2 linked regions of the Cricetulus griseus genome follow. The protein of the gene in region 2 binds, or shares a complex with, the protein of the main gene of each other region. Links are inferred from orthologs where the notes say so. Each region holds a gene or a part of one and is shown on either strand. Other genes may lie near its edges.

The links.
Region 1: the proteins of Kit (region 2) and Socs6 are in contact, whole or in part, in a crystal structure (PDB 2VIF), measured with the Homo sapiens proteins. The link is inferred for Cricetulus griseus from reciprocal best matches to the Homo sapiens genes KIT and SOCS6. Residues at the interface, in NP_000213.1 of Homo sapiens: Asn566, Asn567, Tyr568, Val569, Tyr570, Ile571, Asp572, Pro573, Thr574; in NP_004223.2 of Homo sapiens: Arg391, Glu395, Arg409, Asp410, Ser411, Ser412, Asp413, Ser419, Phe422, Thr428, Leu429, His430, Thr431, Arg432, Phe442, Tyr443, Glu444, Gln445, Val448, His460, Asp464, Ala469, Phe470, Cys471, Tyr472, Ser473, Arg474, Ser475, Arg476, Thr482.

What each region holds. Positions count from the first base shown.
Region 1 is NC_048595.1:227,439,169-227,454,690, reverse strand, and holds the start of Socs6 (suppressor of cytokine signaling 6), read right to left. Parts: upstream 7,812-15,522; 5' UTR 7,626-7,811; intron 1,638-7,625; exon of another isoform or gene 1,514-1,637; intron 1-1,513. UniProt on the Homo sapiens protein: SOCS family proteins form part of a classical negative feedback system that regulates cytokine signal transduction.
Region 2 is NW_023276807.1:142,116,720-142,131,597, reverse strand, and holds part of Kit (mast/stem cell growth factor receptor Kit), read right to left. Parts: intron 6,288-14,878; coding exon 6,173-6,287; intron 4,560-6,172; coding exon 4,366-4,559; intron 2,924-4,365; coding exon 2,817-2,923; intron 2,725-2,816; coding exon 2,598-2,724; intron 2,323-2,597; coding exon 2,218-2,322; intron 2,119-2,217; coding exon 2,008-2,118; intron 483-2,007; coding exon 332-482; intron 1-331. UniProt on the Homo sapiens protein: Tyrosine-protein kinase that acts as a cell-surface receptor for the cytokine KITLG/SCF and plays an essential role in the regulation of cell survival and proliferation, hematopoiesis, stem cell maintenance, gametogenesis, mast cell development, migration and function, and in melanogenesis.

The sequences.
Region 1 (15,522 bases), on a different chromosome or scaffold from region 2:
GAAAAGTAACAAACTGCTGTAGTCTACAGATCTTAACACAGAAGCTCCAATTCAAAAAGAAAAGAAAAAATAATACATCATTCAAATGCATATAGAACATATAATACTTGTTGTTATTTCTGCCATAAGTTATAAGCTTTGTGGTAAAAAAAATCGTATTTTCTGAATTATACTTAAATTGAGAATGAGATTTTAGAATAACAGATTTGAGGTATACAAAGTAATTCACATAAGATTACTATTAAATCTACATAGAGCCAGTGTAAACTTTATCCATCAATAAAGTAATAATCATTTAAATACAACCCTATTAGGCAAAATAAAATAAATAAAAATAAATAAATAAAAAATAAAATTAACAATCTCACAAAAAGACTGCTTGCTTTGTAAACTAATAATTTATTTAAAATAATCAATTACTGAGCACTCCCAAAGATGAGGTCTCTTTCCATTTTTTTTTTTTTTTTTTTTTTTGGTGGGGGGGAATAGTTTTTAGAGAAAGGATTTCTCTGTGTAACTGTCATGGCTGTCCTGGAATTCGATCTGTAGACCAGGCTGGCCTCGAACTCACAGAGATCTGCCTGCCTCTGCCTCCTGAGTGCTGGGAATAAAAGTATATATCACCATGCCCAGCGGCGTCTCTACACTTACTAAAATGATCTAAATTGGGCTAGTGAGTTGGATCAACAGGTAGGGATACTGACACTGCCAAGTCTGATGACCTGAGTTTCAATCCCCAGAATCCGAACAGTCAAAGCCGAGTACCAACTCCTATAAGTTGTCATCTGATCTCGACATGTCCACACATTGACCTCTCCTAAATAATACAATTTAAAACTTAGATCAAGAGGCTTTGGGCAGGAGATGCAGAATGTGGTAAAGTATTTGCTTGCCTAACTTGGATAACTAAGGTCTGAGTTTGAGCTTTAACACAAGGAAGAAAAGGGATGGGGAAGGGAGGAAGCAGCCAGTTAGCTGCTAGTTTTGTGTGAAGTCATGATTGATTAACCGTATGGTTTTTGAGCAGAATGTGTGGCACAGGCCTATAATCCTATCACTTGAAAGGTTGAGGCACAAGAATGGGGGTGTGAGGCCAGCTTTGACAACATAGTAAGTTTCTGCTTGGCAACACAGCAAAACTATCTCAAAACAACAATCAGCAACAAAAATCACTATCAACAAGAATGAGCATACATGTTAACTGCTACCTGTCTTGGCCGGGGTTTCTATTCCTATGATAAAACACTATGACCAAAAGCATCTTAGGGAAGAAAAGGTTTATCTAGATTACATATTCTGATAACAGTCTATCATCACAGAGAGAAGTCAGGGCACGACCATGAAAAAGCTGAACAGAAGCCATGAAGAAACACTGCTTACCAGTGCTCCTCATGGCTTGTTCAGTCTTCTTTCTTTTGTCAACCAGAATCACCTGACCAGAGCTGTCAGTGTCCCGAAAGAGCTGGGCTCTCCCACATCAATCATTCATCAAGAAAATATACTACAGACTTACCTACAGGCAAACCTCAGGGAGGCATTTTCTCAATTTAGAGTTCCTCTTCCCAAATAACTGTAGCTTGTGTCCAGTTGACAACAATCTGACAAGCATACTACCATTCCCCCCACACAATGGAACCCTGAAAGCAAAGGGAAAGTATGACCAGTGAGAACAATGTTAACTGGGGTAGACAAGCCTGAGCTGCAGCTCCCAGCACCGTGGCAGCTCAGTGACAGTGCACCAGCCGAGTATATGCCAAGTCCTGCTGTCCAGATCCAGCACTGGAAAAAACAAGTAAGTAAATTCAATCCTTCTAGAAGGGAAGACAAGAAGAAACAGGCCTGAGAAAATATCACAGATTTGAAACAAGTCCAAGGTTATTTTTTTAAAGGGGTACAGGAGGGTAAGAAAACCAAAATCCATTGTGAAACATTTAAATACAACAAAAACACCCCCAAAAGATTGACATGAGAAAATAACTAATAAACAAATCAATCCAGGTTAAAAGAAAAATCACAAAAAGGAGGGGGAAGAAATTGCAAAGCAAAGTTTAAAGTCTTTTAAGTTAAAAAAAATCAATGGAATATTACATTCTAAGAATAGAAGAATAATGATGAGACATACCACTGTGAAGCTTTAGTAATTAATAGATAATACAAAAACTTTCTAGAGACAGAGATCTGCTATAAACAAGTGGTAGCTGGCCCAAGGTAACAGTGAAGGCCAGGTGTCAATGGCATTGCTTTCAAACCTCCAACAGTTCAGTGGCTCTGTCCTTGAATCTTGCACATTCCCTGGCATTCTTGCAAAACCAAATGATGGATTCTGGGAAGTGGATTAACAGTGCATCAATCTGTTATTCTCCACTTGCCTGGATTCACAGGACAGCAATTGCAGAGGAGCTGACAGATCCAAGAGAAATTACAAGGATCCCACCCCTCCAAAATCCAGGAAAGCAAAAAGCCAACCATTACCCTTCATAGCTGAGATTTTAGGGTTAATCAGTGAAACATAACCTATTTCTCCTGAGTAAATTTAAGCTGTACCTTAAATTCAGCCAAACTATAAACCAAATACTTGAGCAAGCATTTTCTAGCACACAAGCCAAAACCAGTAAAGTACTACCTCCTCACTTTTCAGGAAGTTTCTACAGGTGTGAGTTCCAGACTGACGAGTGGGCTCTTTTTGTCCCCGCTTCTGTATCGCCCCTAGCCAAAACCAAACAATTGTCCGTGAAGATGGAAGTACAAATGCCTAGCCACTTGTATCAATATCAAGAAGAGCTATGTGCATGAGATCTCATGTTGAAATCCCCTACAGAACTGGCATATAACTAGGCTAACTGCATAAACACATGTCTGAATTTATTTACTTATTTATTTACACATCTGTAAAAGAATGAAGTCTGATTATACTCTGTTGAACTTCCTGTAGCCTGAAATTACAACAGTTTTACAGATGTATAAAAGCACAAAAATCCTGAGACTTCCTTCTTGTTTATAAATTTTGCCAGTCTGTGATATTTAGTAACATTATTCCCTAAATATGTTTTTCCCCCAATGAAAGGGATGCCAAAGGACAAGTACTCATTGAAAACAAAGCTTGCTGGGCGTGGTGACACATGCCTTTAATCCCAGCATTCAAGAGGCAGAAGCAGGTGGACCTCTGTGAGCTGGAGACCAGCCTAGTCTACAAAGTAAATTCCAGGACAGGTTACACAGAGAAACCTTGTCTGAAGAAAATAAAAAAGACAAACAAAAAACAACCCAAAGCTAAACTTTTAGAATAATGTATTATAAATATCAAAACAAAGTTTGCACAAGGAAAGTAACACACATGCAAAGTAGTACATCCACCAATGAGAATGTATCTTCATCTCAGTGTGTTAACCCTGTTGATTCAACTATTTGACACTTCTGACACTAAGGTCTGAATAAGGTCAACAGCAAAGACTGGCTCTCTGAAGCACTTAGTAAACCAAGCTTGTCTGTGGAATTATAAAGATCAAAACTAAATGATTAATTTCTTTATTAAAAAACCTTTTATCAGGCACATAACTTTAGTCCCAGCACTTGGGAGGCATATACAGGCAGATCTCTGTGAGTTCAAGGCCAGCCTGGTCTACTGAGCAAGTTCAGGATGGGCTCCACGGCTAGAGAAACCCTGTCTCAAAAAACAAAAAAAAAAAACACCCAAAAATTTATCTAGGGACTGGAGAGATGGCTCAGAGGTTAAGAGCACTGGCTGGTCTACCAGAGGTCCTGAGTTCAATCCCAGCAACCACATGGTGGCTCACAACATCTATAAAGAAATCTGATGACTTCTGGAATGCAGGCAAATATGCAGACAGCATACTGTATACATAGTAAATTAAAATTAAAATTCTTTAAAAAATCTTTTATATAATAGGAGCCACACAATCCTATGCCTTTGTAAGAAGGTAGTTTAAATACAAGTTCATACTGTCACAAAGGTCCTCAGTGACCTCTTACATGCCATCATTTCTTTCTTTTCTTCTCTAATGTCCAAAAGTTGGCTGTGGAAAAATGGATAAACTGTCTTCAAAACCTTTTCAATAATTTTAAGACAATACTTTAGTGTGGTGGCTATAAAGAGGAAGACAGCTTCAAACCACATGTCAAGGAACTTCAGAAAGGACTCACATATCTAAGAGTACTGAGCCCACAGTCAAGCTCCACTGCATGCACACTGTGACCAGTGCCCATCCCCCACACACACACACATATGTCCCAGCAACTTGCATACTACCAGTTGCTTTGCATCCTGACCATTTCTCTTACCACTGCATCTTACACTCTTTTCCCATATTGCCCTTCTTTAGCAAGAATATCTGCATCACACAGAGACATTGCTGCTTCCACAACATATTCCTTTTGACCAGCCCAAGCACATTTTAAATTAGTTATTACTATTATCACTTGCTATATTCTAAGCATCAACCTAGTCACATGCACTGTCTTAATTTTTCATCTCACCTTTTAGAAACTTTACAAATAAAACTTTTTGAAAAGCAATTATACAAAATCAAAGTGTTAAAATTCAATCTAGATTTGTATTTCAGAGAAAGACTGCTGCAATCAGTCTAAGTGTCTGGCATGTCTAATTACAAATTGGTTTTTCCTTCTTGCTTGACTCTCTGCTGAAATCTAAGGCTGCCAAGAGGTTCCAGATAACTGAGGCTTGACTTCACTAGGCTATGTAAAGGAACAGTGAGGAAATATGCCCCAGAATAGTTACTTTCCACACTGACAAATAACCACTTATGAAAGTGAGGCAGTCGGTTTGGTTCATGAGTAACTTACACGTTATGGCTCCACAGGGAAACAGTGAAGGGCTGTTTAAGTCATGTGAATACAAGGTTTTTTATTTTATTAGTGTTTTGATTTATTCATTTGAACAGATCAGCTTGGACAATGACAAACAACTCACAATACCAAAGGCTACCTAATATCTATCTACACAGCAAGCCTCTTTCTGTCATGTGATGAGAACTACACATACTTTTTTGAATACCAGGTCCCTGCTCAGTGTGCAAGTTCCACAGGATATGTTAAAGACACAAAGGGGAAAGTAGCCAAGTTCCATGTGCTGGGAACACAAAGGGAAAAAAGACCATGGCAGGCATACTACCTCATGGAACCTGGATACTAACAGAGCAAAAAGGAGAGAATAGAATACTTAAACAACCATGTCTAAAGGAAATGTGTCAATTTGTTACTTCAAAGTACTTAGGAAGATTCTCTGAGGTGTGGACATTGGCTGTAAGGCCTAGGAATAAATCTCTCGCACAAGTAGCCACTGGTGGACACTGACAGTCAACAAAAGCAGTGTATCAGGGCTGGGCTCTGGAAAGCAGCCTGGGATACTGAGGAATGGAAGGCCAGGGTACGACTATTGTATAAGACATAGTGTAAACAACCTATGCAAAACCCTGTAGCCCAATTAAGAGTTTGGATGTACTTCAAATAAAATATATATTTACTATAACTGTGAGATGGATTTAGATCCACTTGAGGACTAAGACTCAGAAGATCCAAAGCCTGTTCAAGGTCACAGTGCTATTGAATGAACACCCTAACACTTGTCACGTCCTCTGTGTGCAGTCTGGAAAGTGAAATCTTATAGTCATTCAGATATCAACAAGATAGCCAGGTTAAGAAAGCTGATTCCTCATGAAAATGATAATTTTACAAAAGTATGCAGGTACCCTCAGACATCAATGCTATCTCTGTAACTTCAAGAGGTCAGAAGAGAAGCAGCACAAAACCAATGTCGTACACACATGTATCATTCTGTTTCTTGTGAACACATTTTCTTGAGAGTGACAGTGACCATCAAGAACTCAGAAATGGACATAAAAGCTTTGCCTCCTTTCAGCATACCTCAGAACTTTTTAAGTAAGATCACACAATTACCCCCTGCAAGCAAAACAAGAGGCTAACACAGAGTTTCTTACAACTGTCCACAGTGGCAAAAATAGCAGAGTTTTCTCTAAGGATGAAGTTACACAAGAAGGTCATGAAGGCACTTGGTTTCTGTTCTCTGAAAAGACAGCTCTTAAAAACAACAGCGTCTCCGTTCTAAAGCAAGACTGGAGAAGAACATGGAAAGGTAAATGGCTTGGAATCCAGTTGGTACAGCAGCACTTTTCCACACCACACCCTGTGCTTCGGCTGGCACCCAAATCCCTGCCTTGCCACTCCCTGCAGGTGTCCTAACAAGGGAGGGCACTCGGATGACTCCCTGAGGGAGACAGTGTTTTAGTTCCATGGTCAGAAGGGAAAGGAGCAGGGCCAGGCACCAATTCAGAGAATGTCTTAAAAGATAAAAGCAAACAAGAGCAGTGTCTTTAAAGAGATGCTAAATGGAGCCATAGAGAAGCTAGAGGTTCAGGTAAATAACTTGGTAGATCTTGACCTGGTCCAACCCTGCATAATAAACGCTCCCACATCCCTCATGAAGCCCACTGTCCAGAAGTCATGTCCTCAAATAAACAAGGGTTAGGGAGAGTGGTGGAACCAAAAGGTTAAGATGACCTACTTTCCTGAGGCAGGGATAGACCCTAAAACTTCTTCCCACATCCATACACGAAGCACTGGAGAGAAATCAGTGCAGAAAAGTCAGATTATATGCTAGCTCTTCTGCATTTTACCCGTGAAGCCTTTAAGCAATACCACTCGTGTTTTCCACTGCCTTCACAGCACTGAGAATTCCAAGTGAAATTCATTCATTCAAGTAAAACTACACGGATTCCACTGTGGGATTTGGTGAGTTTAAAGTAAACCGCTACCTACTATGGCTGGTATTTCACCTTTGCGTAGGCAGGAGTTTACCTCTGTTCAGTTACAAGTTTATCTTTATCCCAGGGAACACTATAAATTAAGACTGTACTTGGGGAGGTCTCTCCCGTGTTCCATTCACATTATAATTGTAATTAGCATACTGCACAGTCCTCGGGCACACACAGCAGCAGCAGCATGCTGCCTTAGTGAGACCTTCAAGAATTCAACATTAGCTCCCTACCGGAAGCCCGAGTTCCACCTCCGTCTCACCGGCCTCCAATTACAAAAAAGTGGGGACGAATGAGAACCCCAAATCGCGTTCTGACTACACACTAAGTTGGTACACACAACTCTCCCAAGTTTGGGGCCAGACTCTGCCCCGGGAAACATCAACAGTGGCGCTCAGGAGCCACAATGGTGTGTGTACCTGAAGTTGCCAACTCCGGGAGCAAAGGCGGGCGGGCCTGTGCGGGATCAGGGCAGTTTAAATGCCTCGGCCCTCCTCCCGCGCGCGGCCCTTCCGCCGGCCCTCGCGCGCGGCCACCGGTCCCGGCTCCACTCGGCATCTCGTCCCCTGGACGCCACCCCCGGGGCCGTCCGGGCCGCGACGATTCCCCGGTCCCGCTCCGGGAGCCCCGACCGGCCCGGCCCGCAGGCCCCGCCGCCCAGGCCTCGCCGAGCCGGCCTCGCACACCGCGCCGCGGGCAACAAAGGCGGCGCGGCCCGCGTGGGCCGAGCGGGCGGGGCCTGGCTCCCCCTCCCTCCGCCGCCGCACGCGACCCCGCGCCACCACCCCCCCTCCCTCCCAGCCCCACGCCGCTCACCCTGCGGCCGCCGGCTCCGCTTCCTCCCGGCGGCGGCGGCGGGAGCGACTGCCGCGCTCGGCCCTCCTCAAGCCGCTCCTCCTTCCTCCTCTTCCTCCTCCCCGAAGGGAGGGCGCGCGGCCGCGGCCCAGGCGGGAGCGGAGCGGCCGCACAGCAGCCCGGGCCGCCCGCGCCCTCGGCACAGCCCGGTAGGCGGGGCGTCGGGGTGAGGGGGGACTCAGTGGGCGGGGCCATAACCGCGGGTGCCAGCGGCTCCGCCCCTCTCCAGAGCGGGCAGCCCGGCCGTTCTGAGTCCTCAGAGGCGATTGCTCCTTAAAGGGTGCGAGCATGCTCTTCTCTTCTCCAGGACTTCAAGGCCGCCTCCTGTCCAGGCTGAGCCACAAGTGGGAAAGCCTTCCACGTACCTACTCCCGCTTGGTCTTAAGGACAGCCTAAGAAAACTAGGTTTAGCCCTTCTTTCAAGTCATCTACCTTCTGTAGAGTCATTTTCAGTGGAATTCCTGGAATTAATAGAGGTGTGTGTGTGTGTGTGTGTGTGTGTGTGTGTGTGTGTGTGTGTGTGTGTGTGTGTGTGTGTATACACTTAGGCTTTGGCAACTTAACTCTCTTTTTCACAAATTAACACAATATGCTTTTAATGTGCAGCAGACCCAGAAAAATTTGATACTGTTTATAAGTAGGCCAATGGGAATTTATTTTTCCTGTAAATGGTGAGCAGTTGAAGAAAATATTAACATCTCAAGAAAGGGGGGGGATACATGTTGTTAAAAATCTATCTTAGAATTAGTGTGAGCTTTTAAAGTGTTTCATTTTTAAAAGAAAATATACAAAGAAATAAGGCTGGGGAACAGAAGACGACTTAAAAGAGCTTCAAGTGTAAACTCCAGGCCTGTTATGTATTATTGACTATGTTAAGAAATATTGAATATTTAAGAAAATAACAGTTAAGTTCAAAATTTAATTAACATTAGTTTCTAGAAATATTCAGGTTCAGTAGAAGATGTTCATCTAAACACAAAATCTGGGTAAGTAATAGGAAGTGTGTTAAATCGGTTTTTACAATGGGATGGCATTGCAGTTGCCATTTGGCGATGTGTTGTTTACCAGACTAACCACTGGCATTCGCAGTGTTACTTGAACGGATTAATGAACACCATCACTACTGGTGCCCTGGTTGAAATGTAACTCACTTCTTATTATCTTTCTTATCTCCCTCCCTCTCTGGCCATCCCCAAGATAGCCTCCTTAGTCTTGAGCCACCAAACCCACTCCAACTTAAGTTGAAGTCAGATATCTGTTTTTCAGTGAGTAACAGAACATAGACTGAAATTAAATTACAAAGCAAGTAATAGTGACTAAGTGGAAGGGAGCTTTTCAGTCTGTAGCCCTGCTAAGGGTGTTTCCTCATCTGCTTTAGGGGCAGGAAACTATCAACAAGCAATAGACATCAATAGCCCTCAGCAGCAATGTACATGGCCGAGACCCTGGACCATGTTACAGCGTGGACAGTTTGAAGAAATATATAAACATAGACTAGTTACTTAGTTTTAATGAGTTTCTACCTTCAAAAAGTGGGAGTTATTGATTGGCCTTGACATTTGCCCAAAGAACTTGACGACCTACTCCATAGATACTTGCTCTGCCATGTTCGTTGCTGCTCTATTCACAATAGCTAGGTGTGATGGCTATTCTTGGTTGTCAACTTGACTACATCTGAAATTAATCAGAACCCCAAAATAGTGGGAAGATCTAATCCAGATTTTGAAGGTAGGATGACACCTTTAATCTGGGTCACGCTTTCTGCAGGAAACACATAAAAGGACATGTCAGAAGGAAGTCTTTGCTCTTTGCCTGTTTACCCTTGCCCTGCAAGCAAGTCTGTACCTTCACTGGAATTAGAGCCTACTTCTTTGAGATTCCAGGGTCAACTGAAGACAAATTGAGGCATCCAGCCATGTGGACTGAGCAACTTCTAGATTCTTGAACTTCCCGTTCATAGTCAGCCATTGTTGGATTAGCTGGACCACAGCCTATAAGTCATTCTAATAAATCCCATATATATATGTATGTTTTAGATACAGAGAGAGATTAATTCTGTAAGTTCTGTTACTCTAGAGCAGTGATTCTCAACCTATGGGTTGCAACCCCTTCAGCATCAAAAGACCCTTTCACAGGGGTCACATATCATATATCCTGTACATCAGATATTTACATTATGATTTGTAACAGTAGCAAAACTACAGTTATGAAACAGTAACAGAATAGTTTTATGGTTGGGGAGGAACTGTATTAAAGTGTCAATACATTAGGGAGGTTGAAAACCACTGAACTAAAGAAAGTGAATGACAGTTATGTGACTCTGGTACTAGGACCTATCCCAGGTGCATAAGCTGGCTTTTTAGAGACCATTTCCTATGCTGGAATACCTTGCTCAGCCTTGATACAGGGGTGGGGGGAGATTGGTCCTCCCTCAGCTTGGTATGCCACACTTTGGACTCCCCAAGGAAGGCCTTACCTCCTCTAAGGAGTGGATGGGGGATGTAAGGAGGGAAGAGGGGGGAGGGGAGGGAGGAAAAACTGGGGTTGGTATGTAAAATGAAAAATAGTTTTTTAAATAAAAATTAATACAAAAAGAAACTTGACTAATACACTAGGAAATGGAAACAACTTAAATGCCCTTTACTTGGTGAATGAGTAATGAAAATGTGGTCCATATACACTATGGAGTACTATTAAGCTGTAAAGAAAAAAAGAAAGCTGAAGTCATGAGATTTGGGTGGAACTAGAAAACACTATGTTGAGTGAGGTAACCCATGTCCAGAAAGACAAATGTTAAATGTTCCCTCTCATCTGGGGCTCCTAGCTCCAAATCTTCAGACGTGCGAATGTAACCTAGAATAACTACAGAAACCAGGAAAGTAAAAGGGGACCATTGGGCTGGGGGAGACACTAGAGAGGGGAATAGAACTGTACAAATCATCTGAAGAAGGGAATGGGAAAGAGGGAAACTCTATTTAGGGAGAGGAAAAGAGAGAAATACAGAAGAAGGAGGGGAGGACAAAATAACAGTAAGGACATCTGAAAAAGTCATAAGGAATCATATTATCAACTATCTATCTAAAACTACAAATAATAAACATTAGTTGCTATAAAATGTACATATAGAATTTAAATGAAATTTCCCATTTGCACATGTATCTTGGCTGTACTGGGTGTAGGTAGGATAAAGATGTCACCCAAAGAAATACTGAGTTGTTATAGACAGGCAGGGTGGTGGATTGCCAAGGAGAGGTCTATAGACAACAAGAGGCTTGAGGTTCTGCCAAGCAGAGATATCAACAGTATATTTAGAAGCTGTTATCTCTACAATTACTTGCCCTATGATATTAATGTTGCTATGGCTATTATTTTAATTTAGTGACTAACATCTTACATTCTGGGTCACAAGATACATCCAGATCTTTCTCATGGTAGCTATCTGGCTTTCTTTGTAGTAAGGAGGGGCTGGAGCTTTGGCTCAGCAGTTAAAAGCACTCTCTGCTCTGACAGACTACCCTGAGTTCAGTTTCCAGAACCACATCAGGTTGCTTACAATTTGCCTGTAACTCCAGCTCCAGGAAATCTGGCATCATCTTCCAGACTCCTTGAGTGCCTACACTTGCACACAGATACACACATATGCACATAAGTAGAAAAACAAATACAGAAAAGCTAAAAAAAAGATTAAAAAAATAAAATAAAACTTTATTCAAAGCAAAACAAAATAGAGATTAAAATATACCACTAAGAGCCCCAATGACCATATGAGAGAAAATATCCAAGGTCCTTCATTTTCTTCAAGTACAATAAAATACCTGTGCTTTGGAAAGGAAAAGAGAAGATATAGGTAGAGGCGAGGAGGGATATATCAGATAGGCCTTGATGACACCATCACACTAATGCACATAAAATAAATAAGCTAAATAAATTTTTTAAAAAGAGAAAGGTCCTGGATGACATTCTGTTGAAAAAATATCAGGGCAATAAGCAATAAGCATGACATGTTTACTTAATTGAGGTTTTATATGGCATGGGGAAGCTTCAAGATATGGACTCAGAGATGCAAAGAAAAACTATTTCTGTGCTTCAGTGCCATTAGGAGTAGATGGAATTGTGTATTCAGAAATGTGACTGGGCCAAAAGGACTGAGGTACGGGTAACAGACTGACCCAGAGAAAGCCAGAGAAAGGTCTGTTTTTTATCCCCTTCTTGAGTCTTTCTGTGTGGCATTCCTTTATACTTATCCCTCTGGGATAGGGGTCTTCCCAGAATCAAGGAGAAGGGAGAAAGTAATCTTTTCACATTTATGGCTTGCTTTGAGGAAGGGAGATTCCAGTTTCTGTGACTCACCATGAGAACAGAGTCTGGTTTCTATGGTTCATTTGAGGGTAGAGATAGGACAGGAGATGGGAAAGCAGAAATAACTTGAGCTCGGGCCTTTCCACACACCCTCAGTCCAAAGTCCACAGCATATTAAGGTGTCATAAATTTAGAGTATTGTGCCCTGAGCCACAAGAGAATGCTTGTGGCAGGCAGGCAGGCCAGAATGGTCACATAGCACCTAAGGAATGGTGGGGAGTGAGTAATATGATCATTTTCTCCCATAAACTAACCCAGATCTTCTCTAACACTGGATGATACAAGTTGACAAAAATCAGAGGCAAGCACTAACCATCCAGGCCTCAGACATTGTTGGCCATGGTTAGGTTGTAGAAATCTATCATCACTTACAATGGCTCTCATCTCACAGGGTTGGTAATAGAACTAAGTATTATACAGCATACTTAACACAAAGTGAGCATATTATAAATCTTTAATAAATTAAAACTATCATATTACTCCTATAGAAACTTTCCTGTGAATGTAGCTGTGTGCTTTCTTACGTGATTACCTATTAAACACCATTATGTTCTGAGCCCTTCAAATTCAGAAGGACAGAGGCTTTACCATTCCTCAGAACTTCCTAGTCCTGGGCACATAGTATGTGAGGCGGGGATAACAGCAATTCATTGTTGGATAAATGAATGATTTAATGATGCCAGTGCATTTGTTTTCTAAGACATAAACATGAAAATGCTAGCTTTGAGTGACGGCAAATGCATGGTAGGAAAGAAAAGACTGACAATAAATTTGTTTTATAGTGGTTTTTTTATTATTTCTGTTCGCAAAATTCCCAGATGTGCTTAGAAAAAGCATTGTCAATTTGTGAGTGAGAATCTGTGTGGGTAATTTATTTGTGTATCATATATGGAACTAATTAAGTAACTGTCATCAAGCTTGCCAAACTTTTGAGTTGCTTATAGTCACTCTTTAACAAACTTTATAACACATACTTGTGAGATATATTTTGTTATTTATCTCAAGGCATGTTTAAAGTCTCACTTACAAATACCAGATTCTGACAAATTTAATCATGTTTTACGGATTCTTGCCCATAGTCTCAGCTACTCACAAGGCTGAAGCAGGTTTGCTTAAGCCCAGAAGTTCAAGATCAGCCTTTGAAACATACTGACACTCCATCTTAAAACAAAACAAACAACAAGAAAAGCCTAATGTTTTACGTTAAAGAAGGTCAGAAGCCAACTGTAATTCAAGCTGTGTCAGTCTGTTTGCATAGTTATCACAAAACACTGTAAACCATGTTGTCCATGAGCCACAAACATTTAGCGCTCACAGTTCCAAAAGCTCAGTGCCCAAGATTAAGATGTCAATAAGTGAAGGTTGCATAGAAACCACTTCCTGGTTCGTGGAGAGCCATGTGCAAAGACAAGGCTGAGGAACTCCCCGAGGACTCCTTTATCAGGGCATTAATTCCATTCAAGAAGGCCCCTTCCGGTCTCATCATCTCTCTCCCAACACTTCACTTGCTGATATCAGAAGGATTTCAACATATGAACTTGGAGGGTACACATATTATTAGCAAATGGTAAGTGAGTTTTATTCAGAAAGGGAGCACAGTATAGGCTCAATTCCAAACACATGGTATTTACTAGGTCGTTGGGGATACACAGCTGCAGAGCATCTGTGGGCAGTGGATGCAAAATTACTTCACCGGCAGCTGGGATTCTAGCTAAGCCAACTGTTCTTGCTCCTTGTTAAAGGCAGGCAAGGGAGACCAGGCATCACCTAGAGGACAGAGCTGGGGCAGGGGAGGCTGAGAAAACTGATCAGATAGCAAAAAAGTGACTAGATATAAATGATGGGAATTCTACACAAGCTGACGTGAAGGGATGCTAAGACTGGGCCACGCTGGGCTTGCTGATGGAGCCAGGCTGGGAAAGGGTCCCGGAGAGCACCACATAAAGTTTAGTGAAGGACAAGGTTTTTGTTGGCAATGAAATCTTTTCTTATTTTAATTTTTTCATATGATACTAATTCAAAGTTACAAACTCCTAGGGTGGTATAGGCAAAGAAATATTACTTTTATTCAACCCTCATATATTCTTAGTTACTACAGAATGGGCAAAAGACAGATCCGCAAGAGAAAAATGAACTTGCTAATGTGTATATTTCACGCATCATGGGAGACGCCTAAGGCAAGATGTAGCTTTGGGTTTCATTACATTAGATGCGGCCCAGAGAAGAGATGCAGCACTTTGAGTTCTTCTCAGAGAACTTTACTCAGGTGGAGCTCACAGAAAGGAATTTCAAGATGAGTCAGCATGAAGCAGAGCTTGAGTTTATTAAGAATATATTTATCATTGCATGCATTTATTCCATTTATTCTCTTGTATGTGCATAAACACAGACATGTGTGTACACACTTGCCATGACATAAATGTGGACGTGATAGGACAACTTGCAGGAGCTAGTTTAAAGTGTCTTCATAGCCTTACAGTAGCCAAATACACAAATTGGATACTTCTGAAGTTACATCTCAGATGATTACTGGGGGTAGGGTTAACTAGAGATCACAAGGTTTGCACATGGAAGCTAAGTCATGTTATTGTAAATGAAGCTTGTATTCCTATTTGTAGCTTCCCAGAAAATTCTAGACTTATCCCTGGGAAATAAAGGATTATGGCTGTTCTTGAATGTCATTTATGGTTAGGCTGCAAGTGTGCTTCATTTCTTCTTAATATTTTTATGTGAAATATCTGTTTACAAAGGGAATATTGCCTCTTCATAACAATTCTGTTAATTGTGGTGGATTCTTGAATCTGTGCCAGCAAGAGACTTGCATCAAATTCTGGATTGAGGGTATCCTTTCCCTCCCCATGACCCTTCAATTTTCCCTGTCTGTCTATCTTGCCTCAAAATGGGATTGTAAACAAAAAAAAAAATGTGAAGTGTTAGAAAAATAATGAGACAAAGAAAAAATACTGTAAATTTGTTTGGGTGGCAAAAGGAGGAAGGCAAAATTTGGGTATCCAAACATGTCTAGTTAGTCAACATTAAAACAGATAACTCCAGAACCACCTCTAGGCTGATAGTGCTAAACAGTCTTCAGGGATAACCTTTATTTTCTCCAGTAGAAAGAAGAGAAGGCTGTATTGTGTCTTTGTAAACTTGTGCACTACTTTTAGGCAAGTAGAGAGAAAGTAGATAGTTTCCCAAAATCCTGGTCTCCTAGTTGCCTCCAGAACAACCATCCTTTCCATTTCCATGTAGCACAGGCTTGTATCCCACAGCACAGACACGTACTTATTTTGGGGTAGTTCCTTTGTAATTTTCTATTCAGACTCTTCTGAATGAAGCTAGATAACAGATAATGAAAAATAAACATCTGGTTGAAATCTAGGCTTATCTCATTGAGAGAAACATCACTGTAATAGGAAGGCTTTCAAATACTGTGGTAGCATGTCGTCAGCCACAGAGAGGCATGAGCTGGAGACAGCTCTGTACTGATGCCTGAAGC
Region 2 (14,878 bases):
AGGCCCAAGCTCAGGAGCATAAATAGAAACACAAGAATGGACCCACAGTAAAAAGAAAACAGGTAGAAAACACATTTGGTTCCACAGAACCCAGGCTTAGGGAAGAACAGAAACACGCATTAAAAGAAATCAGCAACAATCTCAATTTGAATCTTCAAGGGTACTATCTGAACTTTTGAAATAGTGAATCACATTTAAATAATTTAATAATCTGGCTTCACACCTCAGAGTACCTTAGTTCATTTCTTTAAAGAATCAGCCTTGATTGCAAACCCTTATGACCCCACAAACTGCCTGTCAACAGCTGACTATTTATGTAAATCAGCCTTACCAGGAAGTCTCCTTTGAATGCAGGAGGTTCTTATAAAGTGCCGCTTCTGCCTGATCTTCTTGCTTCGAGAAAATAAATGAATCACGTTTTCTTCTCAAAAAATTCAAGAGATCACCATAGCAACAATATTCTGTAATGACCAGGGTGGGCCCTATGAGGATATAATAAAATGTTAGGAAGACGCAAGATACACTATAGATAATCCTGCCTCCTGTAGAAATACCCAAGGGTGACCACGGCTACTAACGTTCTGCTTCAGTGGCTAAGCCTTCTTAGTCCCAACATGATTCTATCTATTAACATCACTTATCAAAGAAAGCAGCATTGTGTTGAGTGAAATAAAACAAGCAAGCCCCTTTCTACCTGGATGTCTAAGTGACACGAACATTAGGAACCAGAAGTGACTGCTGGCTTTGCGGCCACGAGTGACTGCTTTCAAAGGTTCTACCATGATCAAGCTTCCTACAGGGACCCTTTGATGCACTTCTGTGTTCAGCAGGTTTCTGTGTCCTTGCTGTAATGTTATTATGAAAATGAAGAGCCCGAGCTGTAGCCTGGTAGGGAATCAACCACATGGAACAGTCAGCTAAGCTCGGTCTGGAAAGTGGGCGAAGAACCTGAAACGACCCGTTTTGCTGACATTACTAGTTGAAAAGAGAGTTGGTGCTCTGAATGTTTAAAAGCACTGTTCCAAGTTAACAGGGAACTAATTACTGTGGGTAGAAACTGCCTCATGAACAATTCATGACCTGATGAAGCACCAGTTACGGGGGCTGTTTTGAGACACTGTCGAAACCTGTCTGCTGTCTCGTGGCTCTCTCTGGACAGACAGCAACAGCTCAATCCACACACCTTTGTTCCTTTAGAACAAAATGCCTCCTGCAAACATCAAGACGCCCTCAATGGGAACACTGACTAAAGGGTTCGAATTGAAAGCTTCCTTTTTAATGGAAGTGAAAAGCTTGCTCTGTTTGGGGTACATTTGAGAAGTGGGAGGCTCAGGGCTACTTTCTGCTACAGAACATTAACTCCTGAGTGATTAATTATGACCCAGCAATATCTAAAGCTTTAAGATTAGGAAAGCCTTCTGGGTGAGCCAAGCCAGAGAAGAGCCCATGATGATGTAGCATCCATGAGAATAAGTTGCATATACCTGGCTATCCCCCCAACCCTTGGGATGATACAGCCAAAAGCTATATCCCTGTACCTGTTAAAGGGGGAGGGTATTATAATTCAATACATGCATGCAATGTATAATGAGCAAAGGAGGGTGTGAGTGGCTCTATACAAAGAAACATCCTGCGTGTTGCCACACATTTGTGGGAGTTAAGATGTTGATCTGCAGAGAGCTGGATAGAGGTCCTTAGGACTGTCGAGTGGGAGGGGAATGGGAGGCTGAGTAATGGGCACCAAAACACACTTGTGGGGAGTAATCCCAATTTTCTACAACATAGTGTGGCAACTATAGCCCTCATCTCAAAGTAACAAAAGGACAGGAATCTGAAACAAAAAAACGAAAAAACTACATTCTTAGGAATGCTGAGGAAAGGAAAACAGAACAAAATACTGGAAAAAACAACAACAACAACTCCCAAACAGCTTATAATTAAGCACTGTCCAAATCATATTTTGATAGCCCGACAGACAGCAACAGGTGCTGTAGACACAAGACTCACCTCCCACGGTGCATGCTCCAAGGAGATTCACGATATTCATGTGATTGCCCAGGTAGCTCAGGACCTTCAGTTCTGACATGAGGGCCTCTCTTTCCGTTAAATGGGCACTTGCTAAAATGGAAAACAATGTATTTTAGCAAAATGAAGAAAAGAAAAACCCACAAGGCAAACTGGTGGTGGGGGCAGGTAGTGGACGCTCTGGACACTTACGTTTGAGCATCTTCACAGCAACCGTCATGGCAGCATCTGACTTAATCAAGCCATATGCAGTGGCCTCAACAACCTTCCCGAAGGCACCGGCACCCAACGTCTTCCCTTTAGAAAGGAAGACAAGGTCAGCGGAAAGACCCGGTGGACAATTGTGACGGTTCCAAAACCAACAAGGCAACTCAAGGAGAATGAGTCTGGAGAAACTTCACTATAGTCTTCCTTTTGCTAACCCAGCCAACTTTTGTAACATTTGACAGAAGGCACTTCTTGTTTCAGGTGAAACAAGACAAAGGAAGCCACTGAAGGTTCCTTAAAATCATTGTTATGTGTACACACACACCAAAAAAAAGCTACGTGGAAAGCCCCAGCTTCATACTGACCAAAACTCAGTCTGTTTCTGGGAAACTCCCATTTGTGATCATAAGGAAGTTGTGTTGGGTCTATGTAAACATAATTGTTTCCATTTATCTCCTCGACAACCTTCCATTGTACTTCATACATGGGTTTCTGGAGGAGAAAGGGAAAGACATGTCACCGCTTAACAATCAAAGCCTCGGTCATTGCGGCATCCGGGGGAGAGGGAGGAAATCAACAGTCACCTGTAAATATTTGTAGGCGAGAACCATCACAATAATGCCCATCAAGCCAGCTGTGATCACAAAACCAATGAGCAGTGGTGTGAACAGGGTGTGGGGCTGGATTTGCTCTGCAAGGGAAGAGAATTGTGATTGTGAGCCGTTTGCAGGACAACAGCCTGGCCACCACCACCTGTCCCAAACTGAACTTCTCTCATGGCGCATGCAGGGAACACATCTTACTCTTGGTATTCAAACGCATCATTCCTTCCTCTCTTTCTTTCATTATTAATTACTATTATTATTATTATTATTTATTTTACTATGTGCTAGGGATGAAACTTGGGTAAGTGCTCTGACACTGCACCACACTCACACCTCACACCTCACTGGACGTGCAGGCATCTCCAGAGATGTAAGTTAAAACCAGATTACAAAGAAAACGAACTTTCTGTAGCATACACATAATGTTATGCTGTTTCAGTAAAAAGCAACATCTGAATGAACTTCCTTTCTGGGTGCTTTGCATTTTCTTCCTGCTCTCTTATACTTTCTACCCTGAACATCAATGCCTTTGGCAGAGAGGAAAGGCATTTTCGAGGTGTCCTTTTCATTGCTCTGTCTGGGAAAAGTAACAATACAGAGAGCAGTGTTAGGCCTCTGCTCTTCCTTATCCAAAGGCTGAGGTCATGCAGCTTTTTGGCATGAGCCCTATGGCCAATGCTGGACACCACAGAAACTGGGCACTAAAAGCAAACTCAGATGCCCAGTTTCCTTGTCTCATATATGCCCATTCATCAGTGCCTTCAAGGGTCATGTGGCCTGCTAGTCACTCAGGAAGCAGAACCTAAAGAACTGGCTGGACAAGGAGTACAGCCCACAGAAGGCCATCCACATAGCATGCACATGCTCTGTACGATTCTGACAGTGCAGGTGCACAAGCATGTCTACACACACATGTACAAACACACACACAAATAAAATTGGGGAAAAACTATTGGCTGACAAGATATTTTGACACAGATATTTAAGAAAATGTAACTCATCTTAAATAACTAAAGTCATAAATAGAATTTATTTATTTATTTTTACTTATGTTTCTCAAAACAGGGTTTCTCTGTGTAACCCTGGCTGCCCTGGAACTCGCTTTGTAGACCAGGCTGGCCTCAAACTCATGGAGATCCACCAGCCTCTGCCTCCTGAGTGCTGGGCTTAAAGGTTGTGCACCACCCACCACATCCAGTGAATTTAAACTTTTTAAAGTTTCCTAATTATACTTGAGTAGAATGAAGGAAGGTTCCCTTACTCAACTATAACTGCACACATGTAACTTGTCGAGAAGCTCGGACAAACACAAAGAGAACAAGTAAAGCAAAATGGCTAATATTACATTGATAAAATCAAAACTTCATCAGCAGACTAGTATGGAATGAGAGTTTGTGAGTTTGATGACAGCACAGTGTGATGTAGGCATTACCAGAAATGTTATGGCCAATATTGGAATGGAGTTAAGATCATGGTATGGTACACAGAGCCTAAATATCCCCTTAAATTGGATCAAAAGGAAATATACCTTTGTTGTTACCTTTAAATGCAAAGTTAAAGAAGGCGGAACTCTTGCCCACATCGTTGTAGGCCTTACACTCCACTGTGCCGTTGTGCCGCAAGACACTGGAGTCTATGGAACTCTGAACCACTAGTTTTCCAAATGGTGACACAGAAGCGTTCTGGATCTGTACATCCACTGGTGGGACGGGAACGGCACACCTACAATAAGAGATCGACAGTGTGGGCTTATACCAGGAAACCAAATAAAAGCATGTGACACTTTGATCTGGCACATTTGTATGACTAGAAACTCAGGCTCAATAAAAACTCCCTTTCCCAGCCATCAGGTCAGGATGGCCCAAGGAGAATGAGCCCCCTGGGGACCTCTAAGTGAGGAAAGTACTGAAGGAAACCAGAAAGGGAGCAATGGTTTAGAGGTTGGACATGGACCTGTGCCCTGACTCCAAGTGCCCGACCTGGTGACTTTTGCCAGGTTCTGTCAACTCTTCACTGCTAGGTTTCTGTGGCTGTACCATCTCAAGGGTAGGTGAAAGGAATGGACTCAAATGGCTGCTGGCACTAAACGCCACTGTACCACAGACTTTTAGAAACAAATCTGGAAAGCATGAGTGATGGTTGAAGATAAAGTGTGTAGAAGAGGAAATTGCAGGAAATCAACAAGCCTGAAAACAAAACAAAACAAAAAACTCAAAAAGTTAGGTTCGGAGATGGGAGCACATGCCATGTGTGTGATGACCACTCTGGCTGCAAGGATCTCCAGGAAACAGTCTCTGAACACCTCTTTTCCATTGCCTTCTAAACACCTACACATACCAATCAATTGCTCATCTTGTCTGCTATCTCTTCTATGCCCACTAGAATTCAGATACACCCAGGCAGAGATGTGGGTACAGCCGAGCATGGTGTACACTAGACAAGCATCTGGCACACAGTTGGCTTCCATGTAAACATTTTGCTGAGCGCAAGATATCTACTCAGGCCATGTCATGGAAGGCACAGCATTCAGAGGTTTTATGTACCCCCCAAACAAAACATTCTGGTGAAACCCACACCAAAACAACAAGCCAACATCCTAACGTGTTGTCATAAAATGTCTTCCATGTAAAATAAGATTTCCACCGCCATTCTGACTATCCATGAGGCCAAACTAAGCTTTTGAAACTGGAGTATAACACGGTGTTTGATGTGTAAAAATGGCACATTGACCCTGTTTTCATCTTCAGGTAATTCAAGAGGACAATTTAAGGCTTAAGTGTGGACGTCGAGGGAAAGCCACACAATGGCAGATGTTCCTTTTTCAGGGGCTGGGCACCTAATCAAGGAGAAACACTTTTTCAAACCCATTGCTCACAAACGCCATATGTATGTTGTAATTGTGCGATCATTACTTTTGGTTACTTGGCAATTAACTTCTGAGGTAATTTTTTTCATGATAACTGCAGCCACATTTCCCACACACATTGCCTCCTGTGTATAGAATGGAAATCTAATTACTCTGCCCTGGGAAATTGCTTTATCTACCTGCAGGCTAGAAATTGCACGATAAACCCAAAAAGATAACTACCAAAATAGAGAAGGCATTCAGTAATCATTTTTCAGCAAACAAAATTAATGTCGACCAAGAAAAATATAGCCATTATCCCTTCTTAAAAAGCCACAAAGATATAGGAGAAAAAGAAATTATCAAAATGCAGCTTTTTATTCTAAAAAAAATATAAATAAATAGTAAGTCTGAAAACACATTTGAAATGCAATTGAATTATAGCCCTTCCCTTCTGAATTTTAAGCAGTGCCAAAAATAATCCTCTCACCTTTGCTCTGTTCCCGTACAAAAATACCAATCTATTGTGGGCTCTGGGAATCCCGCTGCCACACACTGGAGCATACCATTCGCGAGCCTGTCAGACGTCAGGATTTCTGGCTTTGCTGCAGGAAGAGAAATAGCTATGTCAGTCTGCTAAACAACCCTGATGATTGTCTCATTCTTTCTTATACCATCCCTAGATCCTTCCAGAGGCCACTGAGGAACCTGACTTGCTGCTCACCCAAACTAGTGATGGAAGACATCTGAAGGTGGTTGGAGGGCTCAGGAGGTACACTGTCCAGCCCTGCATGGACCCCTATCTACCTGAAGGCATAGGGATCCTGAAGAACTCTACATACCACAGGCTGCCAAGACCAACCTGGCTGGTTTCTGCTTCAGGTCAAAAATCAGCATTCTCAACTAGATTCCTTGACAATAGGAGTTCAAGTCACTCTACCTGCCCAGACACGTCATGTTAAATTATGGACACTGGAATGGCTGAAATCAGGAATTGTTGCAAAAAAATAGAAGCTACATTCTCCTTTTAGGAAGTGCAAGAGATGGTGCTGATAAGAGGTGGATTGCTATACTTACAGGAAAGCTAAAACTGGATAGTGAATGGCAGTACGAGCATCTAAACCTTTATTTCACACAACACTTGGACAGAAAACAGGAAGAAACCTGCCACGACGTTTTGTTCATACATATTATCTATAGCCTGAGAGTAATCAGCAAAAACATAAATTATACCAGCAGGAAGACTAATTTGACAGTCCTGTGTAACTACAATAATCAATTGATATTCAACAATTTCAAATTCTTGAAATTATTTCTCAAGTGAAAGGAAGATGAACTTGTACGGCACAGTTCTGATAGCATCATACTTGAAGGCTTCCAGCCCTTTGAGGGTGAACCAGTTAACAGTCAGCATCATGCAGGTAGAGATGGCCACCTGAACCACTGGAGACTTCAGAAGCAGCAAGGCAGGGATGTAATGGACAGTGCAAACTGATTACGCTTCCAAATCCCCCTCTTGACTCTACTTCTTCATTTATAGAAAGGGAACAATGGTGACCATCTTGCAGGGTGTTGAGTAAATGTGACGGAGCATGCAAAGAACTAAGAATGAAGGCTGTTGAGATGTCCCAGCAGGTAAAGAAGATTGCCACCAATCCTGACTATCTAAGTTTGGTTCCTGGGATCCACAGTTGTGGTACTCACAGTCTTACCTTCACAAGCATGCTGTGGCACATGGCACACACTGCAGCCCCCCAAAGACACACATATATGCAAATGTCATAAATATCTCTTAAAGAACCAAGAATGACATACAGGCATGTAATAATGCATTAATAATAATAATAATAATAATAATTATTATTATTATTATTATTGTTATTATTATTACTGATTTGGTTGTTTTCTATTGGACTACTATGCTCCCCAAATAAGCAAGCTGGCTATGATTAAGTGGACAATATTTACCACCCTTCATTCTCCCTTTAATGTTCTGAAAATTTCTGCTTTAAGACAGTGTGACAGTGTGACAGTGTGTGTGTGTGTACGCACGCGAGCATGTGTTTTAACCGGAAGTAGTGGAATTTCAACATCAATTACATGCAAACTAATAAGAGCAATAGATGAGAGACGCAAAGACTGGCAGGTCAGAAGCTGAAGGACTTCATTTTCCCAAAGGCAGTAGCAATGTTGAATGACATCTCTGAGAGTCATTGCTCAGCACGCCACCTCCTTGGAAGCAAGATGGGTTGGCAGGGATCAGTGTCCACATGCATGACACACCCACCTGTCACTCAACCTGTTCCTGCTGATGGCAGGACATTTGGCAAATACCACAAAAAGAGCCACTACCCTCCCAAAGCCATCCTCAAGGTAGAAGCACCCTTGAGAATTTGGATCTAATGCCAGATTTCACAAATAGAGCAAGAAGACGAGCCATCGTCTTGCAAAAGCATCCATCTGGCAAGTTTCATTTAATTATCACAGGCAACCGTAGGATCAGGTCAAAAAGTAGGACATAAAACAACAGTGAACTCTTAGGAGAATGCTATTTTGCTGGAAACTGCAGTAGCCATACGGTGAGTCTCTCTGGACTCAGCTCAAGAAGTCACTACCACTTGTAAGGAACCCCACACTTCTCCCAAGCCAAGTTGGTTGGTCTCTATCCCTGATCCTGGGGCCCTAAGGAGCACCGGACTTTGTTTTTCAAGCTCATGCTTCACCTCCTCCATCAGACTCTCAATGGCAAGAGCTGCATGTTAGACTAGGGTGTAGGTCTGGTGGCAGTAGACACCCAATAAGAGCTGGTGAATGAATTTGAGACCACCCAAGGGAATTAGTGTTCAATACCACAAGGAGATAACTGGGAGAGTAGCCAAACTGTGGCTTTCCTGACCAGGAGACCTAGTACCCTTATTCATAAAACAGAGAAGCAAGAGACAGGAAATCTACATGCATGCCTAGACATGGAGTTTAAAAATCTGACACTAACAAGTGAGTAGGGAAGTCCACAGAGAGGTGGTAGAGATGGCGTGATTCAAACATCTCAAGTTCATTGGCTGGACCTTCTTCTTTTGTCACTCACCATTGCTTGGGTCCATCATGTCCTAAGATGGGCTTTTCTTGGGTTGGTACAATAGAGAAATAATTCCTCAATACTGAAAGGATACCCTGTGGCATTAATAATGATAGCCTCTGGCTATCAGGCTTATGGATTGTTTCTACTTTTCTCTTCTAACCTTTTTCATCATACAGTGAGCATGGAGCCAAAAATGAATGTATAAAACCTTTTTAATTAAAAAACTGGAACAGCTCAAGCACGCACCATCAATTATTCTTTGCTTCAGTGACAAGTGTTCTCTAAGATCCAAGCCTTCTAGCATGACACCTGGTAGCAGTTACATAATGGCTGGCCCAGGCCAGAGTGTTGTGCTCTGGCTGGCCTACTTGCTCCTGTGTTGGTTAACTGAGTAGGTTTTTTGTTGTTTCTTTTTGAAAGCTACTATCCCAGGTGGGTCATTACCTGAGGCTAGCTGAATTGCTTTTGCCCTGTTGGGCCTCAGAGGGTACTAAACCTTAGATATGCATTAGATTTTCTGAGAAGACTCCTGCTCCAAACCCCAGCTTCTGGAAACTGAAGATATGACCCAGCATTTTATGTGGTTTTGTTGTTTTTGTCGTTTTTTTGGTTTTTTAAACAAAGTACCTTAAAGGAACTCAAGGAAAGCCAGGATTAGAAGGGGCCAGAGAAGTGGCCCTGCGTGCCACAGTTCAGAATCACTAACCCTTAAGATGCATGTGGGGACCTGTGAGTGTCTCCTACAATTTTGTTCTCTTACTTAATCTTAGTCCCAGCCCTGTCCTCAACACTGGAGGTGTGATACCTCATTCTGAGAAGACTAAGTCACACCGGTCCAGTGTGGGCTGTCCATGGCAGGTTGTAGTAGGAAAATGTTTAATGCATAAAGAATGAGCTAGGTAAAACTGATTCCTAAAATGAAAATCTGAGCTTATCTGCATTTTATAAGTGGCTCAATGCACCATGTATGGCATTAAATATGCATTTCACTGCTAAAGATACATAACTCTGCAATTCTCCAGGTTAAGTCAGACTATGGTTTCTTAGACATTCTGAAAATAGGATATCAAATGACACATTCCCTAATTCCTCCCAAGTTGGGGTTTTTGATAAGCCTAAGAAGTGTCTAAGTTACATGTTTCCTGTGCAGATTTTTTTTTAAATAGCTTTTTCCATTTGAAAAACACCGTAGGCTTAAGCCATCCGGCGTCCCCAACAACAATGATCAGCTCGTAGGCAGTCATTTGTTAATGTAATATGAGAATTTGTTGCTCATGCAATTAAAATCCTAAACACTGTTTTACCCTGCAGATTGGTGATTTGAAAAATATTCTTCTCACCACCATTAGGCTTATGTGGAAAGCAAGAACAAAATTAATTTTAAGAATGCAGTACATATAACAAGAGCTGGCAGCAAGCACTGGAAGGCTCCAGGCACACAGAAGGGAGCTGGGGAGACTCATCTTCCATTCATGTCCTGCAGGGAAGTGGTTCTGAGTAGAGTTCTTCTCTGGCCCTGCCTACCTTAACCAGTCCCCATGCCCAATACAATCTGCCTGTACTATATAATCAGCCGGAGAGAGGACAGACTCAGGTCTCCAAAGAATAAAAGACCAAATGGGGGAGTGGTCATCAAGAAGGATTTCTGTTTTGTAACCCTGGGATTGCTGGGGCGGAATGGTGTTGCGGTGGCCATTTTTAACAATCTGTCACCATTCTAGTTGGGTCTGAATAGAAGCTACATTCCTGTCATAATATTGTTATAATGAGAGGGAATGTAAACCAGCTCAAACAGGAATATAAAATAACTAGAGTTGATTTTTTTAAGAAATTACAGACATCCTTAGAATAGATATTTTGTAAATATATTTTGTCCCTTCTTAAATATATATATATATAATATATATATATATATATATATATATATATATGGTATTTTGGCCTGGTTTCATCTAGCCCAGGCTGACTTCAAACTCTCTGTGCAGCCAAAGATGACCTTGCTAATCCTCCTGCCTCCACCTTCAGAGTGCTGAAATTATAGGGGTACACCACCACCCTCTTTTATGTTGGGTTCAAACCCAGAGCACCTCCATGCATGCTAAGCAAGCTCTATAAACTGATCTACCAGCCCCCATATAGGCATTTTAAAAAGAAATTTGTCCAACAAACAAAAACAAAAGCTTCAACCCTAGTCTCCTATGCCCATATATTTTAAACACAAAACCCATTTTAACAACAAAATGCTACTTTAATGAAGTAGTATCCCCAACTAGATTATGAGTTTTATTCTTCATTTTATTCAAAACTCTTCTGGCCTTTTTAACTACTTAAAATTGTTTTTCTTAATCCTTTGGCTGCTCAAACCCAGTGACTGTGCGCTCGTGGACTTTTCTGAATCCCTGTTCTAAAAAGCATTCAGAAAGAGCCCCTGGGGGCTAGGGAGATGGCTCAGTGGGAAAGTGCTTGCTATGCAGCAGCAAGGAAAATGTAATGACTGTTGTTCGGACCCCAGGCACCTACTGGTGGCCCACCTATAATCTCAGTACTTGGAAGCCATAATAGGGCTTTGGTGGTTACCTAGGCTAGCTGAATCAGTAAGCTCAAGGTTCAAGTGAGAGACCTTGCTTTAACAAATAAGTGTTCAATCTCTTCCCCCTACACACACTTGTCCACTGGCATATGCAAACACACGGGAACATGTAAACACACATGCTTGATGCCTCATATACAATTCAAACAAACAAAAAAACCCTCCTAGTTTCAAAGATGGAATCCCCAAATAATGTCTCTACTTGGAGAAAGCCTGCTTTAGTCAGACTCATTAAGCTCAATTCATGGATCCTCAGTAGTCCAGATATGAGCCGGGGACCTGAACAACCCTCAGAGAGCTATGCAGGCTGCCAGATGTGAGCCGGGGAGCTGAACACCCATCACAGAGCTATGTGGGCTGCCAGGATGCACAGGCGCAGGCTGAAATGTCATTTTTCTACTCTGCAAAGTAGGTAATTCATTTTGCCACATAATTCAGAAGATATTGACATAATGCCCACAGAAAAATTATGTACCTATTCTTGGATTAATTTAAATTCCCACTGAATTAGAGGCCACCCTGCATGCATTTATAAGTGAACAAGGCTAATTTGATGTAAAAACACACCTGGCTCAAATGAAAAGGAAATTTTCACACAGCAGAAGGTCCACAATATAAAAGGACTACTCATGCTGCTGTCAGGAAGAGTCGGGGGGCAATATCATCAAAGTTTACAGTCACATACTGAACCCATTTCTTTGTTTTTCCATCATTTAATTAAAAAATAAAAAAATAAATGATTAGACCACAGGAGCCATATAAGTAACAGAGAGGCAGGAAGGTGGCTGCATTTTCTAAGAGGTTTGGCATTCACACAGACACTCCAGTTATGTATGTGTCACACATACCCTTCCCCAAGACTGATTATCTTATGAGAGATGAAAGAAAGTGATGATGGTGGCAACACTGGAGCCAAGAACCATGTTTAGAAGTGCATCTATTGCTGTCTTTTTCCAGAGTAAGAGAGATTCAAGTTCTACGTTAATGGCTCGTTTCCATATCTGTTTCCCTCCAATTTCAACATTCATAACCATTCTAGTATCTAGAGATTCTCTTTCTCTTTAGAGACTTTATAATGTCAAATCAAGGGACTAGCAGGATGGCTCAGTGGGTAAGGCACTTGCCTCCAAGGCTGACAACCCGAGTTCTAGTCCCTAGGATCCACATGGTGGAAGGAGAGAACGACTCCCTCAAACTGTCCTCTGATTTACAATCACACTGCAGCATGGATGGACGTGTATGGGGTGGAGGGGTGGGGGGGTGGGGGTGTGCCTGGGCACAATGCAAAAACAAGTGTTCAAAAAATGTCATGTCAAAATAATACTAAGATTCAATAAAAACAGATACAAGAACTGCCAGATCTCAAATACATGTATGAAGTCTACAAATAGATTAATGTGAAAAGACCGGCAACTATTTTTACATAGATTAACTACCATACTAAAGACAACCTGAGAGTTAGTCCTTAATTTAGAATAGCCCTGAGAACTGACAGTGTGTGGAAGACATAAGAGCATGAAACATAATGACAGATGGCAACTTCATAACTTCCAGGCACTTGGGCAAGGTCACTCATTCAAGATTAAACAAGACGATTATAAACTCCTGACAGGTTCCTTTTAAAACTCAGTCACATCATTTTAGAACTGTCTTACTCTATAATGTCTCAAAATTGTATCAGATGTGGACTTAAAGGAATTATGAAAGATCTGTACAAAGAGATACCAAAGGAAAGCTGTGGAAGAATATTTTATGACTTGAAAAGACATTCTTAATACATCAGTACTCAACACTAAAAAGTCAGGAAATGAAATAACACAACCTCATTTTTGTTAAGATAAATGTATTTTATTTCATATATGTGGCTGTTTTGCCTACATATATGTATTATCAAGTGTGTGACTGTGAAGGTCAGAAGAGGGCAACTGAATGGATGGTTGTGAGACACTATGTGAGGGCTGGGAACAAAACCTGTGTGCTCTTCTAGAGCATTCAGCTGACAGCCTCAACACACACACACACACACACACACACAACACACACACACACACACACACACACGCGCGCGCGCGCACATGCAGGTCTGGAAAAAGATACAAATAAGGGATATTAATAATGCGAAACAATGAAATAATAAAAAAACCTCTTAAATGGTGAACATAAAATTTATTTTTCATTTTTGCTTCTTGATACATTTTCTGGGCTTACCAAACCTATCTTTTGAGGTAAGAAAAACTTGAATTTAAAACCCATAAGTAGATATAATCCACCTACAATGCAGGACAGCCTGCATGTGAATCACATGACAAGGCCATTTGCCAGCAGTGAAGGTGGACATGTCATGCCAGCCATGTAGACCACTCCAGACCACCTGCCAGCCATCTGGTCTCCCACCTGGCTGGAATCTCAGGGTCCTTTACCAGTGTGAGAACAGGAAGGCCCTGCCTTCAGGGACAGCTCAGTTTGGGGGCTTGGAGTCTGTCCTTGAGGGAGAAGGCAAGCCAAATTCCAAGCATCAACTCTATTCCAGTCACCTTGGAAGCCCCCCAGCTTCTGAAAAGTAAACAGTAAGGACTTTCATGAAGTAAGTCAATTTACTGAAGTCTACTTACTACAGACTACTCTACTGCCTGTTTCAGAGTCCCAGCTACTGACTCCAGGACCAAGCCTCATAGCAACACTAAAAGGCAAAAGCCTTTTAAAACAAAACCCCACAGAGAAATGCATGATGGTTAGACACACATTTGTTAGGAAAATCTCTCACCCCCACCCTTTTTAATAGAAAAGGTGTGTGCTGGGAGTGCAACTCAGGCAGGGGGCATGCAGAAGCCTTAGGCTTCAATGCCAGTATCCAAAATCAATCATTGAAGAGGAGAAAGAGGAAGATGGACATAGACTCTAAGTGGCTAAGAGGTGGGAGACTATCTCCAGTTATGGAAAGAGTTCTCCTAGCTTTGCTCTCACTGTTCCATGAGGGACTTCTTCAAGGGCAGACTTGCTCCAAGCCCCTAAGTTAAGTAGTCCTTGAAGACAGGCAGCCATTCTTGTTTTCACACTGGGAGAAGACCCTGAGATTCCAGCCAGGTGGACAACCCAGATGGCTGGCAGGCGGTCTGAAGCCATCCACACGGCTGGCTTGACAGGTCCACCTTCGCTGCTGGCAAATGGGCTTGCCGTGTGATTTACTTTCAAGCTGTCCCACATATAGCTGCTTCTACCTAGTGAGGCTCTAGCCATCTGTAACCGGATTCATCTATTGATAACCTAAAATACATCAAAAGCAGTCTGGACTTTTCAAATGTGGTCAAAGGGGAACTTTCTCATCAGGAAGCTTCATTACGGGCGATTTATCAATTTGGCTGATTTTGGTATACTGCAGGGTCTATAAATAACCATGAGTGCCAAGCAGGATGTTAATTATTTGATGCAGTGATTTAGAAATAATCCATTATTAAGCATTTTCTTAAATTGTTTCTGGTACCCTGTTAGTACCCTAAATGGCATGAAGCTGCTAGTGGCACTGAGAG